2 linked regions of the Canis lupus familiaris genome follow. The protein of the gene in region 2 binds, or shares a complex with, the protein of the main gene of each other region. Links are inferred from orthologs where the notes say so. Each region holds a gene or a part of one and is shown on either strand. Other genes may lie near its edges.

Region 1 (6,343 bases), on a different chromosome or scaffold from region 2:
TAAGCCCACCTCTACCTCATTAATCATCCCTTCAGAGCTCCAAGACCTTAGAGAAGAGATAAGTGAACTAGGTTTTGAAGAAAAACACAAAGACCCTGTGTATTCTTCCTCCCGTTTGTGATTTCCCCCATGTCCACTCTGGCTGCGGTTCTACCAGTCAGGCAGGGGGTAAATGAATGCTGGGTGGATGTGTGGTAGCCTTCCTGCTGTGGTCAGAGCCTCTCTGTGTGCCTGTCTCCTGGCGACTTCCATCATTACACACCCCTTTGGCTTTGAGAGCCCCTTCTAACTTTCTGGGCTGGAAGTGAACATGGTGATTATGGGATGCCTCAATCTCTGTACTTTGTGGTCCTGGGAACCCAGTTTTGCCACCTGCTTGACTTTGCTCATGGTCCTCCCTGTCAGACTCCTGGATTTCCTCCTATAAAGCAGCGTTTCTTGGGTGGTGGGGAGGCTTGAATCCCCGATTACCCTAGCTCCCTCTACTTAGGCAAGACTCTTGTTTCTATTTCCCCCAGTCAGTTCCCAAAGTTGATACCTCAGATGATACAAGTACTTGTCTCAAAAAAGTTTTTTGAGAAAACTTGAGTTCATCCTAGAGTAGCCGTTTGGGGGAAAAATGAAATTGGGTCCCTACTTCATCCACTGTTTGCAAAATTAGTTCCAGGCAGCTGAAAGATTCTGATACAAGAAAGTGAAACTAGAACACATGACATTTTTTACTATATCAGAGTGGGAGAAAATAAAAATTTGCATTGTGAAAACAACAAACAGGAAGTAGGGGGTTGCAGATGCGGTGATATTTGTTCCAATACAAAAAGTAATTTCTTTAAAGAAATTTTTTTTGAGGGCAGCCCTGGCGGCGCAGCGGTTTAGTGCCGCCTGCAGCCTGGGGCGTGGTCCTGGAGACCCGGGATCAAGTCCCACATCAGGCTCCCTGCATGGAGCCTGCTTCTCCCTCTGCCTGTGTCTCTGTCTCTCTGTCCCTCTCTCCCTCTCTGTGTGTGTCTCACATTAATAAATAAAATCTAAAAAAAAAACAAAACTTTTTTTTTTTTGAGATTTTATTTATTTATGAGACAGGCAGAGACATAGAGGGAGAAGCAGGCTCCCTGTAAGAAGCCCAATGCAGGACTCGATCCCAGACCCCAGGATCACACCTTGAGCTGATGGCAGACACTCAACCACTGAGCCATCCAGGCATCTCTCTTTAAAGAACTTTTAAAACTTGGCAGTCAAGGGGCGCCTGAGTGGCTCAGTCTGTTAGGCGTCTGCCTTCAGCTCAGGATTGTGTTCCCAGGGTCCTGGGATCAAGACCCCCAGGCTCCCTGCTCAGCTCAGTCTGCTTCTCCCACTCCCTCTGCCCCTTCCCCAGCTTGTGTGCATGCATGCTTTCTCTCTCTCAAATGAATAAAATCTTAAAAAAAACAACAAAAAGAATTTGGCAGTCAAGGAGATAGGGCCCATAGAAATAATAGGCCAAGGGTGTAAGCTCCAGAGAAGTGACAAACACAGAGCTAATAACATTACTTGTTAGGGACATGCATGTAAGTGTGAACACTTAATGAAGCCCCTCTGGTACGTGGCCTGCCCATCAATAGACCTCATACACAGGTCAATTTGCCCTGGCAGTTTGAATCCTGGCTGCTTATCTTCTATATTTGGATTCAAATGTATATGAAATGCTGTACATACAGAGAGATTCATTTCAAAGGGAAATTGGGAAGTACCACAGTTATGTTAAATGTATCCCTGGGACCTCCTCCTGCAGTAATATACTTAAGTGGAGAATGAGTTCCAGGTGCAGAGAACAGTCTTCAATGTGTAAGTGAAAAAGAAAAGCAAACTGCAGAAGGGTGTTTGGATTCCATTGCATGGTATTACATATATGTGCACACACGCAGTGTGCGTGTGTACACATTGTGTACAAAACATCTTTTTTTTTTTTTTTTCAAGATTTTATTTATTCATGAGAGACACACAGGCAGAGATGCAGACAGAGGGAGAAGCAGGCTCCATGCAGGGAGCCCAACGTGGGACTCGATCCTGGGTCTCCAGGATCACGCTCTAGGCTGAAGGTGGCGCTAAACCGCTGAGCCACCCGGGCTGCCTTTGGTTTAGTTTTATTAAGTGGGCTCTGCCCAGCATGGGGCTTGAACTGTAGGCCCCAAGACCAAGAGTCGCACACTCTACCGACTGAGCAGGCCAGGTGCCCCTGCATGGAACATCATTGGAATGACACTATTACCAACGCAGTAGTTGTCTCAGGACCTGGGTTGCTGGGGAATAAAGATGACAGACCCCTTTCACTACCTTAGGAAGTTTGTGTCATAGGCATTTATTATTAGTCAAAATAATTGTTTTTTAGTCAAAATAATTTTAAGCAAAAACATCCAAGAACAACAAAGCGATTTATTCAGCCAGATATGAACTCTGACAAAATGTATGTGGTGTTCTCAACTATTTATTGAAGTATCTTTTCTCCGTAATAAAACTGAGCTCTTCTGGGACAGGAACCTGCATTACTTAGGGGCTCAATAAATATGAACAACTGGCAAAATCAACTGGGCTATACTGTCCCCCGCCCCACCCCTAATTTCTGCAGATTCTGCTCTTCCTTCTCTACAGCACAGTTGGCTTATTGGGATCATTGGGATCTTGGAGTCCGACGTCATGGCCATTACAGGTAGCCAGTGTGGCCAGTTGGGTAGGAGAGGCCGTATGGCTACGCACCTGTCTAGTCTGGGGTGTCTTGCTTGGAGCCCTGCTGGGGATGACAAGCTCCTAATTTCTGGGGTTATATTCTCTCTCCAACCTCAACTGGCTCAAGGGAGTTGTCTCTTTAAGAGCTGGTGGCAGCCCCGCCCCACAAGGAGGTCAGCTGGGTGTGTGAGTCACATGACTCCCAAGTCTCTTCCGCCCTCTGCAACTGGGGCCTCATGTGCCGCCATGAGGGGCCCCGCTGGGGCTGCGGGCGTTGTGCCCCCAGTTCCATGCTCCTCCTGATTCAGCTGCTGTCTGCAGCCCCGTTTGGCCTGCTGGGGGAGGAAACTCGCCAGGTGAGGGGCTAGAGCAGTAGGTGTTCCTGGAAATGCTACCCTGGGAGGCACCCAAGCGGCAGGGCTGGTGGGGCACCGCCAGGGCCCTGGGACAGGATTGTGGACGAGGGGGACTCCCGGGCTCCCTGTCTTAAGGGGACACCTGCCAGCGCCTGACTCAGCCCTGAGTGACCCAGGTCCAGCAAGAGTTGGGCTGCTTCTCACCCCTGGCCCCGTATCCTCGTCTGCCTGCTGGAGTCAGGGTGGTTGTGGCTCTGGCCGGCTCTCCAGGCCACATCCCTCCAGCCGATGCCTGCGCCTCAAACCAGATGCCCGAGTTCCCACACCGCGTCTCTTGCCTTTCCCCATTGTTCCCCAGCTGCTCTGTCCTGTGCCTCTTTCCTGACCTCGTTCCCTTGACCCTCCACTATGCCGTATTCCAGGTGTCTCTGGAGGTCATCCCTGACTGCCGAGACCCCTCCCCGAACCTGCTCCACATCCGGGCAGTGGGTAGCAACTCCACACTGCACTATGTGTGGAGCAGCATGGGGCCACCGGCAGTGCTGCTGGTGGCCACCAACACCCCACACAGCACCCTGACTGTCAACTGGAGCCGCCTGCTTTCCCCTGAGCCTGACGGGGGCCTGACGGTGCTCCCCAAGAACAGTATCCAGTTTTCTTCTGCCCTTGTCTTCACCAGGGTGAGGAGGTTGGGGAGAGCCAAAGGGGAAGAGTGCTGAGCAGAGGGTTCACCCGGGCCCAAGGTGGGGACCGAAGACCAGGGTATGGGAAGTAGAGTCAAGCATAGGAGCCATGGGGCGGGGGTGGCTCTGGGGGTAGCTAGACTCAGGCAACTCCTGTCCCATCTCACCCTGCCTGCCAGCTGTTTGAATTTGACAGTGCCAACACATCTGAGGCGTCAGCCAAGCCTCCGGGAAAACCGTATCCCCCGTATTCCCTGGCGGAGTTCTCTTGGAACAACATCACTGACTCATTGGATCTCGCTACCCTGAGCGCCACATTTCGAGGCCGCCCCATTCAGGACCCCGCTGGGGCCTTTGCCAATGGCAGCCTGGCCTTCAGGGTAAGGGTGTGGGGAATGAGAGGAACACCAAAGGCTGTTTTCTGAGGGTGGGGGTGGTGGCCTTCACATACAGGCAGGTCCCTGCTTCCCATGCCTCGCCCGCTTCCCCCATCCCAGGTGCAGGCTTTCACCAGATCCAGCCGCCCAGCCCAAGCCCCGCGCCTCCTGCATTCAGCAGACACCTGCCAGCTAGAGGTGGCCCTGTTTGGGGCCTATCCCCGGGGAAACCGCTCCCTGTTTGGGCTGGAGGTAGCCACCTTGGGCCAGGCCCCCGACTGCCCCTCAGTGCAGGAGCAGCGCTCCATTGATGATGAATATGCACCTGCAGTCTTCAAGGTCAGTCTTCAGGCGGAGAGGCGGATGGGTGGGGGATGGTAGGACTTCAAAGAACCATGTAACCAGTTACCAACTAGTGGTGCCATTCAGCTCATTCAAATGCTGGCCACTGTGCTGACCCAGCCTCTGCCTTCAGTGGGGAAGACAAAAGGAAGCCAGGCCTGGGGGCCGGGGGTTGGGGGAGCCTGGGGACCTGGGGCTGTGAGCTGAGTATAGGCTTATGGACGTCAGGGCTGGGAAAGGACCCAGTGTTCCCGAGCCACCTCTCTTTCTACAGAGGAGGGGCAGAGGCCCTATGTAAGCAGCCTTGGGGGCAGCCTAGGCCTTTGGACAGTTGGTAACATTTGGGAGGCCGGGAAGGGTGGAGGAACTGGAGGGTGGGCAAAGGTTGGTCCTCCTCATCCTGTTGTTTTTCTCCCAGTTGGACCAGCTGCTGTGGGGCTCCCTGCCCTCGGGCTTCATGCAGTGGCGGCCAGTGGCTTTTGCCCAGAGGCAGAGGGGCCGGGAATCATCCCTGCCCTGCCAAGCTTCCCCTCTTCGCCCCACCTTGGCATACCTTCTTCCCCAGTCTCCCATCGTCCGAGCCTTCTTTGGGCCCCAGACTGACTTCTGTGCCTTCAACTTGACATTTGGGGCTCCTACAGGCCCCGGCTACTGGGACGAATACTATCTCAGTTGGTGAGGGCCGGGGCAGGCTGGGGCTTTGGGAGTGGACGTGGGGGTGCCTGGCTTCCTGGTCTTCCTGCCTAACCTACTTACCTGTCTTTCTCACTCTCCCTGCCCTAGGTCAATGCTCCTGGGTGTGGGCACCCCTCCAGTGGACGCCTTGTCCCCGTTAATCCTAGGCATCATGGCAGTGGCCCTGGGTGCTCCAGGGCTCATGCTGCTGGCAGGAGGCATATTTCTGCTGCTGTGGCACAAGCAGTGCTCCCAATACCAGCCTATAAACTGAGGCCCACTCTCTGGAGGACGGGACATTAACTAGTGGGCCTGTGTTGCTGGTCTGCCAGTTGAAGGGTTAGCTGCTCCCTTCTCCCATCTTGCTTTTCTGCAAAACCTCAGGGAACCCCCAGGCGGGGCTTCCATCATACTCTCAGGAGGGACCAGCAACAGGGTGATTGCTAGAGGTGGGGGGGGGTCCCTTAGTGATACTCCTCTGCCCTTCCACCATTTTCCTGGCATGAGACTCACAGACATAAATCAAAGGCCTTCTGATTGGTTGGCTGCCCCAGAAGGCACAAAATAGACTTATTTTCTCCCTGGTGCTTGTCTCAGTGTGGATGTTGTGGGCAGGTGTTAGGCTGGTTCCAGGAACCAGAGGCTGAGATGTGGGCATGGTAGACATGTCTCCCCTGGTGCGCCCCTTTCTCGTCACCAGGCAGACACTCCTCTCCCACCAACGGGGCAGCAGCTTCTGGTGCTCTCTGGGTCAGACGAGGGACAGACACCTGAGAGTGGGGGTCAAACATGAAGAAAGAGCCAAGGAAGACTGGCAGCCACTTCTCGTCACCCACATGCTCCCACGGGGTTGACATCAGCTGTTGGGCCCTGCAGCCAGTTCCTGGCCACCACGTGTGAGGGCACACACGCATGTACACTTGCACACACACCCCTCCCCCTCCCCTGAGGCGGGCCTCTTCTCCCCCCTGTACCTCTTCCCCTGGGAGACACATATTGTGGGCATTTCAGAGGTGGGAGGTTACAGGGGCCTAACTGGGTTGGAAGACAGGAGACCAGCTCTGGGCTGGAGCAGCTTTAATTATCTGAACTGAAGCTAAAGGTCCCACAAGGGCCAGCAGTGGAGGGTCCTGAACCCAGGCCCTCCAGAAGGTTTTCACCAAATGTGAAAGTCCTGATTGATCGGATGCCCAGTGTTTTTCTTCAG
Region 2 (5,613 bases):
TGAATAGGAGAGTCCCAGGAGAACCTGTAGAATACAGAAAAGGGTAAAAATCTTAACGTTAACCAAAAAAAGTGGTTTTCCTTTAATGCAAATTAGCCAATCTGCGATCATTAGCAAATATATGAATATTCATGCATATTTTATTATGATTATAACTAAAACTCACATTTGATACAAGAAAGTCCTGACTCTAATAGTATCCCTCTAGTGACAAAATACACACACAGTATGTATGTATGTATTTATTTATTTATGACATAGGCAGAGACACAGGAGGGAGAAACAGGCTCCATGCTGGGAGTCCGATGTGGGACTCGATCCCGGGACTCCAGGATCACGCCCTGGGCCAAAGGCAGGAGCTAAACTGCTGAGCCACCCAGGGATCCCTTGTCTTAACCATTTTATATTATGTGTGCTTATAACTGACTGGGCCCAGGGTACAATCAAGGACTAAGCAAGAAAATAAAGCTAATTTGCAAAAAGTTACTACCAACATTTCTGGAAAGTTAATCTTCCAATATTTATTATTTACAAATTAAGCAATCAAGGCAACACCATGCCAAAAAGTCTATTATCTTACCTCAGGTCATCAACGCCTAACTGGAGAGCAGGGTAGAAAACCATTACCTAGTGTTACTTTTTAATTATAAAGGAAGCCTTATGATTTAAGTTTAAATAAGATCATTTACACCTATTATATTGGCAAAGGTTAAAATAAGGCCAATGCCCAACATGACTAGGATACTAAAAAAATGCACATTTGTGTATTATTGGTAAAACTATAAATGGGTAAGAACTTCTTAGAGGAGAAGTTTCACAACGTCTATCAAGATGTTAAGTGTGCAAAACCTTTGCTATAGCATTTATACTTCCAGGAATCTGTCCTAAAGAAATCTCACTAAGTGCAAACATATATGTTCAAGATATTCTTTTGTTAATAGTCAAGAAATGCAGCACATCTCAGCCTGTGGTCTTTAAAATGACATTCTAAAAAAGAGTAACAAAACCCTGATGAATTTTTTTAACCTTCTAAGGATCAAGGTCAAAAGAATGCAAAATCATGAATCATGGGCAGAAAGATTTTTTTTTTTTTGCCACTTATGATGGAAGAATTTCTTTTAAAGAAGTACAGAAAAATAAATGGAACTAATAAGCATTTTAGCTTTCCTAAGACTACTTTATCTCAAATTCTATTTCAGCACTGAGATTACTATGTTAAAAAGCCAAATAAAATTAAAAATATCTTATTCATTAGTAATCAAATTTACTTTTAAAATAGTTATTTTGTAGAAACTGAAGGCATTGTTTTTCCCCTTTCACAAGCTCTACTATCAGAATGAGTATATGGTGGCTCCTGACATGCACTTTTACAGAGTCTTCCCTGAAGCCCTGCCAGCATGAACAGTGACATTACCATAGCAATCCAAGGGTTCCACAGTGTGAAGGCCAGCATGATGTGGGCAGCAAGAGTGGTCACCACTGCACACAGAACCCAGATGATGTTCTTTCCTGTTTTATCCACCAGGAGCCCAAATATCGGGGACATGGGAGCTGATATAACATATACAATACTGCCCAAAGAATATAAAAGATATTTAATAAAATCATAACAGCTTTAAAAAAAAAATCCAAGAAGTCCCTAAAACCATCAGGTAAAGCAAACCCTAGCTCATTTAATTTAGCATTCTTCTAAAACGGTCATCAGAAAAAAAAATAAAATAAAATGGTCATCAGTAAACAGTATTACAATATAGTATCTTTTTATTTTTTTTTAAGATTTTTATTTATTTATTTGTGAGAGACACACAGAGAGGCAGAGACAGGCAGAGGGAGAAGCGGGCTCCCTGTGGGGAGCCTGATGTGGGACTCAATCCCAGGACCCCAGGATCATGACCTGAGCCAAAGACAGATGCTCAACCACTGAGCCACCCAGGCACCCCCAGTAAACAGAAATTTAAAGATTAAAGAGCAGCCCAAGATTTCTTCAGTTTTCCATTAATGCAAAGATGGTCTCTCAGGATCAAGTACCAATATAATGTTGATTTCGTATTATGGATGTTAAGTTACACGTATTCTTTGTCTCTTAGAACATTTGGTTATAATTAAAGACCCACCTATGCACAAAATAAGCACTCACAGAATTAATGAAATACCTGTTTATAGCACTTGCTGCCTGGGAGGAAAATCCAAATTTCTCTGTAAAGAAAACTCTAAAATAGAGAGAGACAGAGAGAGAGAAATAAGTACTTTAGAGAGAACTGCTTTTTAATAATTAAAGGCAAAATAAAACTAAATTAAAATAATTCTAAGTTTAACCAACTTTTCCTTCTTGATATTATTTTCTTACCTGATCTAACATTCATCTTTAAGCAACTGATGTTAAAGCTTTAGTGTTTATGTATTTCACTAAATAAAATACCCTGATGTTGACTTTTTTCATTTTAAATAAACAAACAGTACACATAAGTTTTCAGAATACCAAATGAATTACTACATGAAATTAAAAGTGCTTCTTTTCCTTAAAGCGGGACTGGATAGGTTCTTTGCCAAATAATGCCTAGAGATCTTGTCTCAAATAATTTAAAACACTCTGAATTTAAAGGTTCTGATTACGAAGACACACCCCTATAAACACACTCAACATACTGCTCTGTTCGAGCAGCTGCCAGGGGAAAGGCAGAGCTAAGTGATTAAAAAAAAAAAATTGATTTTTAACCCTGGCATAATGTAGTCCTAGCAAATGCGCCCAGGCATGGCACAATGAGTCAAAGCACTATTTCCATTCTTAAGAATAGGCTTCCAAACAAAGGAATAAAGAGGAAATTAAAAAAAAAAAAAAAAAAAAAAAAAGAATACTAATCCAATGCAAAGTATTAAAATAAATCTTTATTAAGATTCAAAACTGTTATATTTCATCAAAAATATAATGAAAGTATTAAGCCAAATACTAACCCTTATAAGGTAAGAAAATCAGTTATATCCCAGGATGTAAAACAATTCCTATGTAAATGTAAACTATAACCAGAAAAGCAAGATTTATAGCTAAAAAAATTGCAATTGTGTGATTAAATTCTCATTATAATTTAGCAACAACAATGGAATGCCAGAGAATACTCACTTCCCAAGTCCAATAAAAGGGAACACTGCCACATAATAGCAGACACAGATGATAAATATTAGCCACAGGGGAAAAGAGAAGTCCTTTACATCAGTTAACTTAATAACTTCACCTTAAAAAGAAAGGGAAGAAGCTATGAGCATAATTTTGCATACCCAGGTCAAGAGTACTGATTAACCTTTGCCATTCAGTTTACAAAACACTTTTCTCAGTAAAGTACTGGAACATAACTTCTGGGAAAATCTAAAAAGACATTAGAAAAAGCAAAACCTAAGATTACTGTCTACTTTCCTGCTGTCTTCCAGGAACACTCATCATTTTCCAAATACACAAAGTGCAATCAAGAATGTAAATTCTAAAAATAAAAATAAAAAAACAAAAAATAAAGAATGTAAATTCTGTCAAAAGTGCTTAAGTGAAAAAAAAAATTGTTCTCCAAAATTTAGACAAGTTGAAACAGATTGGAAAATAAAAGATAAAAGACATGTATTAAGCCTCACTGGTCTTATAACACTACATAAGGAACTTATCTCATTGTAAATTATGTTCAAAGTTCCGCAAATCCCCAAAGCCCACTTTTCTTGCATTTAGACCTACCTGTTTTTCCTTGTGCTTTGTGAAGGATCTTTTCTGCTCTCTGATCCAAGTAAGCAAGAACCAAGGCACAGATTAGTGAAAGAATACATGTTATACCCCCTATAATAAAAAAAGAAAAAGAAAAAGAGAGAGAGAGAGAGAGAGATTTTTAAAAGTGAATGAAGGTTCCCAAGAGGCAGCACCTTACAGTCATAGCAGAAAACTTAGCAATTGAAAGGGATGCCATCTTGACACATCTAAGAAAATCTTACAAATACTAAATCAGGACAGAAGGAAAGGAACAGCATGTGGTTAAGTACTCAACAAACTACAGTCACTCTTACTACATTTATTTCCCAGCAGAAGGTTGGAGACTAGAGGGAAAAGACCATAACATACTAGTCTAGTCTTGTAATCTAGAATTTCCTTAAGAAAGTGGATGACTAGCTAGCAAATCAGTACTAATATATTAACTAAGTCTAAGCACTGATTACTGATGGATGCCAGGGAGAAAAATTATAAAAACAAAGTCTGGGGACGCCTGAGTGGCTCAGCAATTTAGTGCCTGCCTTAGGCTCAGGGCGTGATCCTGAAGTCCCAGAATCGAGTCCCCATGTCAGGTTCCCTGCATGCAGCCTGCTTCTCCCTCTGCCTGTGTCTCTGCCTCTCTCTCTCTCTCATGAATAAATAAAATCTTAAAAAAAATAAATAAAAACAACGAAGTCTGATTCTCCGATCATCTCATCTTCCTCTCGATTTCTTCCCAAAGTCTGTAACCCTTGCTCCTGCCCTTTGGCAGCCCAAAGGGCTCTACCCATCCACCCACAGCACAGCTCACCCAGGCTCTCCTTCCTCTTTGTAATCAGCATTACTCACTAATGCTAAACTCCTATCATTAAACTCAATCAGGATAAAGAGTAAATAAAGTTTATACTTTCAAGACTTTTAAAATAAGTTCAGTAAAATAAATGAATCTTTAATTTCATAATGTGGTCTATCTGAAAATTGCTAAAATAAAAGTCAGTAGATGTGGGTTCTACTTCTGCCACAAGCTGAATGATGTTGAACACAGAACTTAATCTCTTAGTTAGAAGTTCAACTTCCCCATTTGTAAAACTAGAGGCTTTGACTTGACAGCACAAATCTTTCCTGGCTCTAAAATTCTTTAAAATTATTAAGTTCTCCGTTGTGGAGAGGAGTGGAAGGAATACTGAAGAGCATCTGAGAGTAAGAAAAAGAAGTTTTCGATAAGGCAAGGGATTTGAGAGGTGAGAGAGGAAAGGAGGAGACTCTAGATTTTTTACCTGTTCAAGACTTCCTCTCCACTGACCTCTTTCTATCAAGTTATATATAAGGAATAAAAGATGGCACAGAATATTCTCCCCACCATCCCACAGGTCTTTGTAGGTCTCTCCAAGTGGCCCTCTTACCCACTATGGGGCTCAGTTACAAAAATCCACTACTCAGAGAAAAGCACAGGTGGTAACTCCAGAAGGCCTCACTCATATGTGTCTCAGTGATCTACCCAGCAACCAGGACAACCAAGCCTTAGCTAAGAGAACTTAGGGCCAGAGGGACCTATACAGTTTCAGTCAAACACCTGAAATTTTACAGAAAAGAAAGCTGAGACCCAGGGGCTAATCATCTTGTCCAAGATGACAGAACTAGTTAGAGCCAGGACTAGAACCCACACTCCTGACTCCCAACACAGTGGATTTCCCATGACAACTTCTGTAAAATCTTAGCTCCACAGGTATACTAAATGAATTTGCTTAAAAGGAAGTAATTTTCTCTTTGCTACAGACTAGTAACACCTTACATGTATAAAGTATCTGTTTTCAGAATTTTCAAATATACTCTTATTTGCTCATCATGACAGTGCTGAAGCAGATAAAGAGGGACAAGATCCTCCATTTTAA

Evidence for each region. The genes of interacting proteins can lie anywhere in the genome.
Region 1: the proteins of MFSD1 (region 2) and GLMP are in contact, whole or in part, in a cryo-EM structure (PDB 8R8Q), measured with the Mus musculus proteins. The link is inferred for Canis lupus familiaris from reciprocal best matches to the Homo sapiens genes MFSD1 and GLMP. Residues at the interface, in NP_080089.1 of Mus musculus: Val288, Glu292, Lys293, Arg295, Phe349, Phe351, Leu411, Asp412, Lys414, Gly415, Tyr416, Leu417, Leu418, Val421, Ile424, Ser428, Leu432, Val435, Leu439; in NP_064387.1 of Mus musculus: Glu250, Asn252, Ser253, Ile254, Asp255, Asp256, Glu257, Pro260, Ala261, Phe263, Gln264, Arg292, Phe364, Leu367, Val368, Ile371, Met372, Ala375, Ala378, Leu381, Met382, Gly385, Phe389.

Annotation. Positions count from the first base shown.
Region 1 is NC_049228.1:41,568,325-41,574,667, forward strand, and holds GLMP (glycosylated lysosomal membrane protein), read left to right. Parts: upstream 1-2,899; 5' UTR 2,900-2,939; coding exon 2,940-3,059; intron 3,060-3,481; coding exon 3,482-3,739; intron 3,740-3,921; coding exon 3,922-4,122; intron 4,123-4,239; coding exon 4,240-4,458; intron 4,459-4,879; coding exon 4,880-5,136; intron 5,137-5,244; coding exon 5,245-5,410; coding exon of another isoform or gene 5,411-5,439; 3' UTR 5,440-5,722; downstream 5,723-6,343. UniProt on the Homo sapiens protein: Required to protect lysosomal transporter MFSD1 from lysosomal proteolysis and for MFSD1 lysosomal localization.
Region 2 is NC_049255.1:25,267,443-25,273,055, reverse strand, and holds part of MFSD1 (major facilitator superfamily domain-containing protein 1), read right to left. Parts: intron 3,815-5,613; coding exon 3,716-3,814; intron 3,231-3,715; coding exon 3,119-3,230; intron 2,211-3,118; coding exon 2,154-2,210; intron 1,572-2,153; coding exon 1,415-1,571; intron 25-1,414; coding exon 1-24. UniProt on the Homo sapiens protein: Lysosomal dipeptide uniporter that selectively exports lysine, arginine or histidine-containing dipeptides with a net positive charge from the lysosome lumen into the cytosol.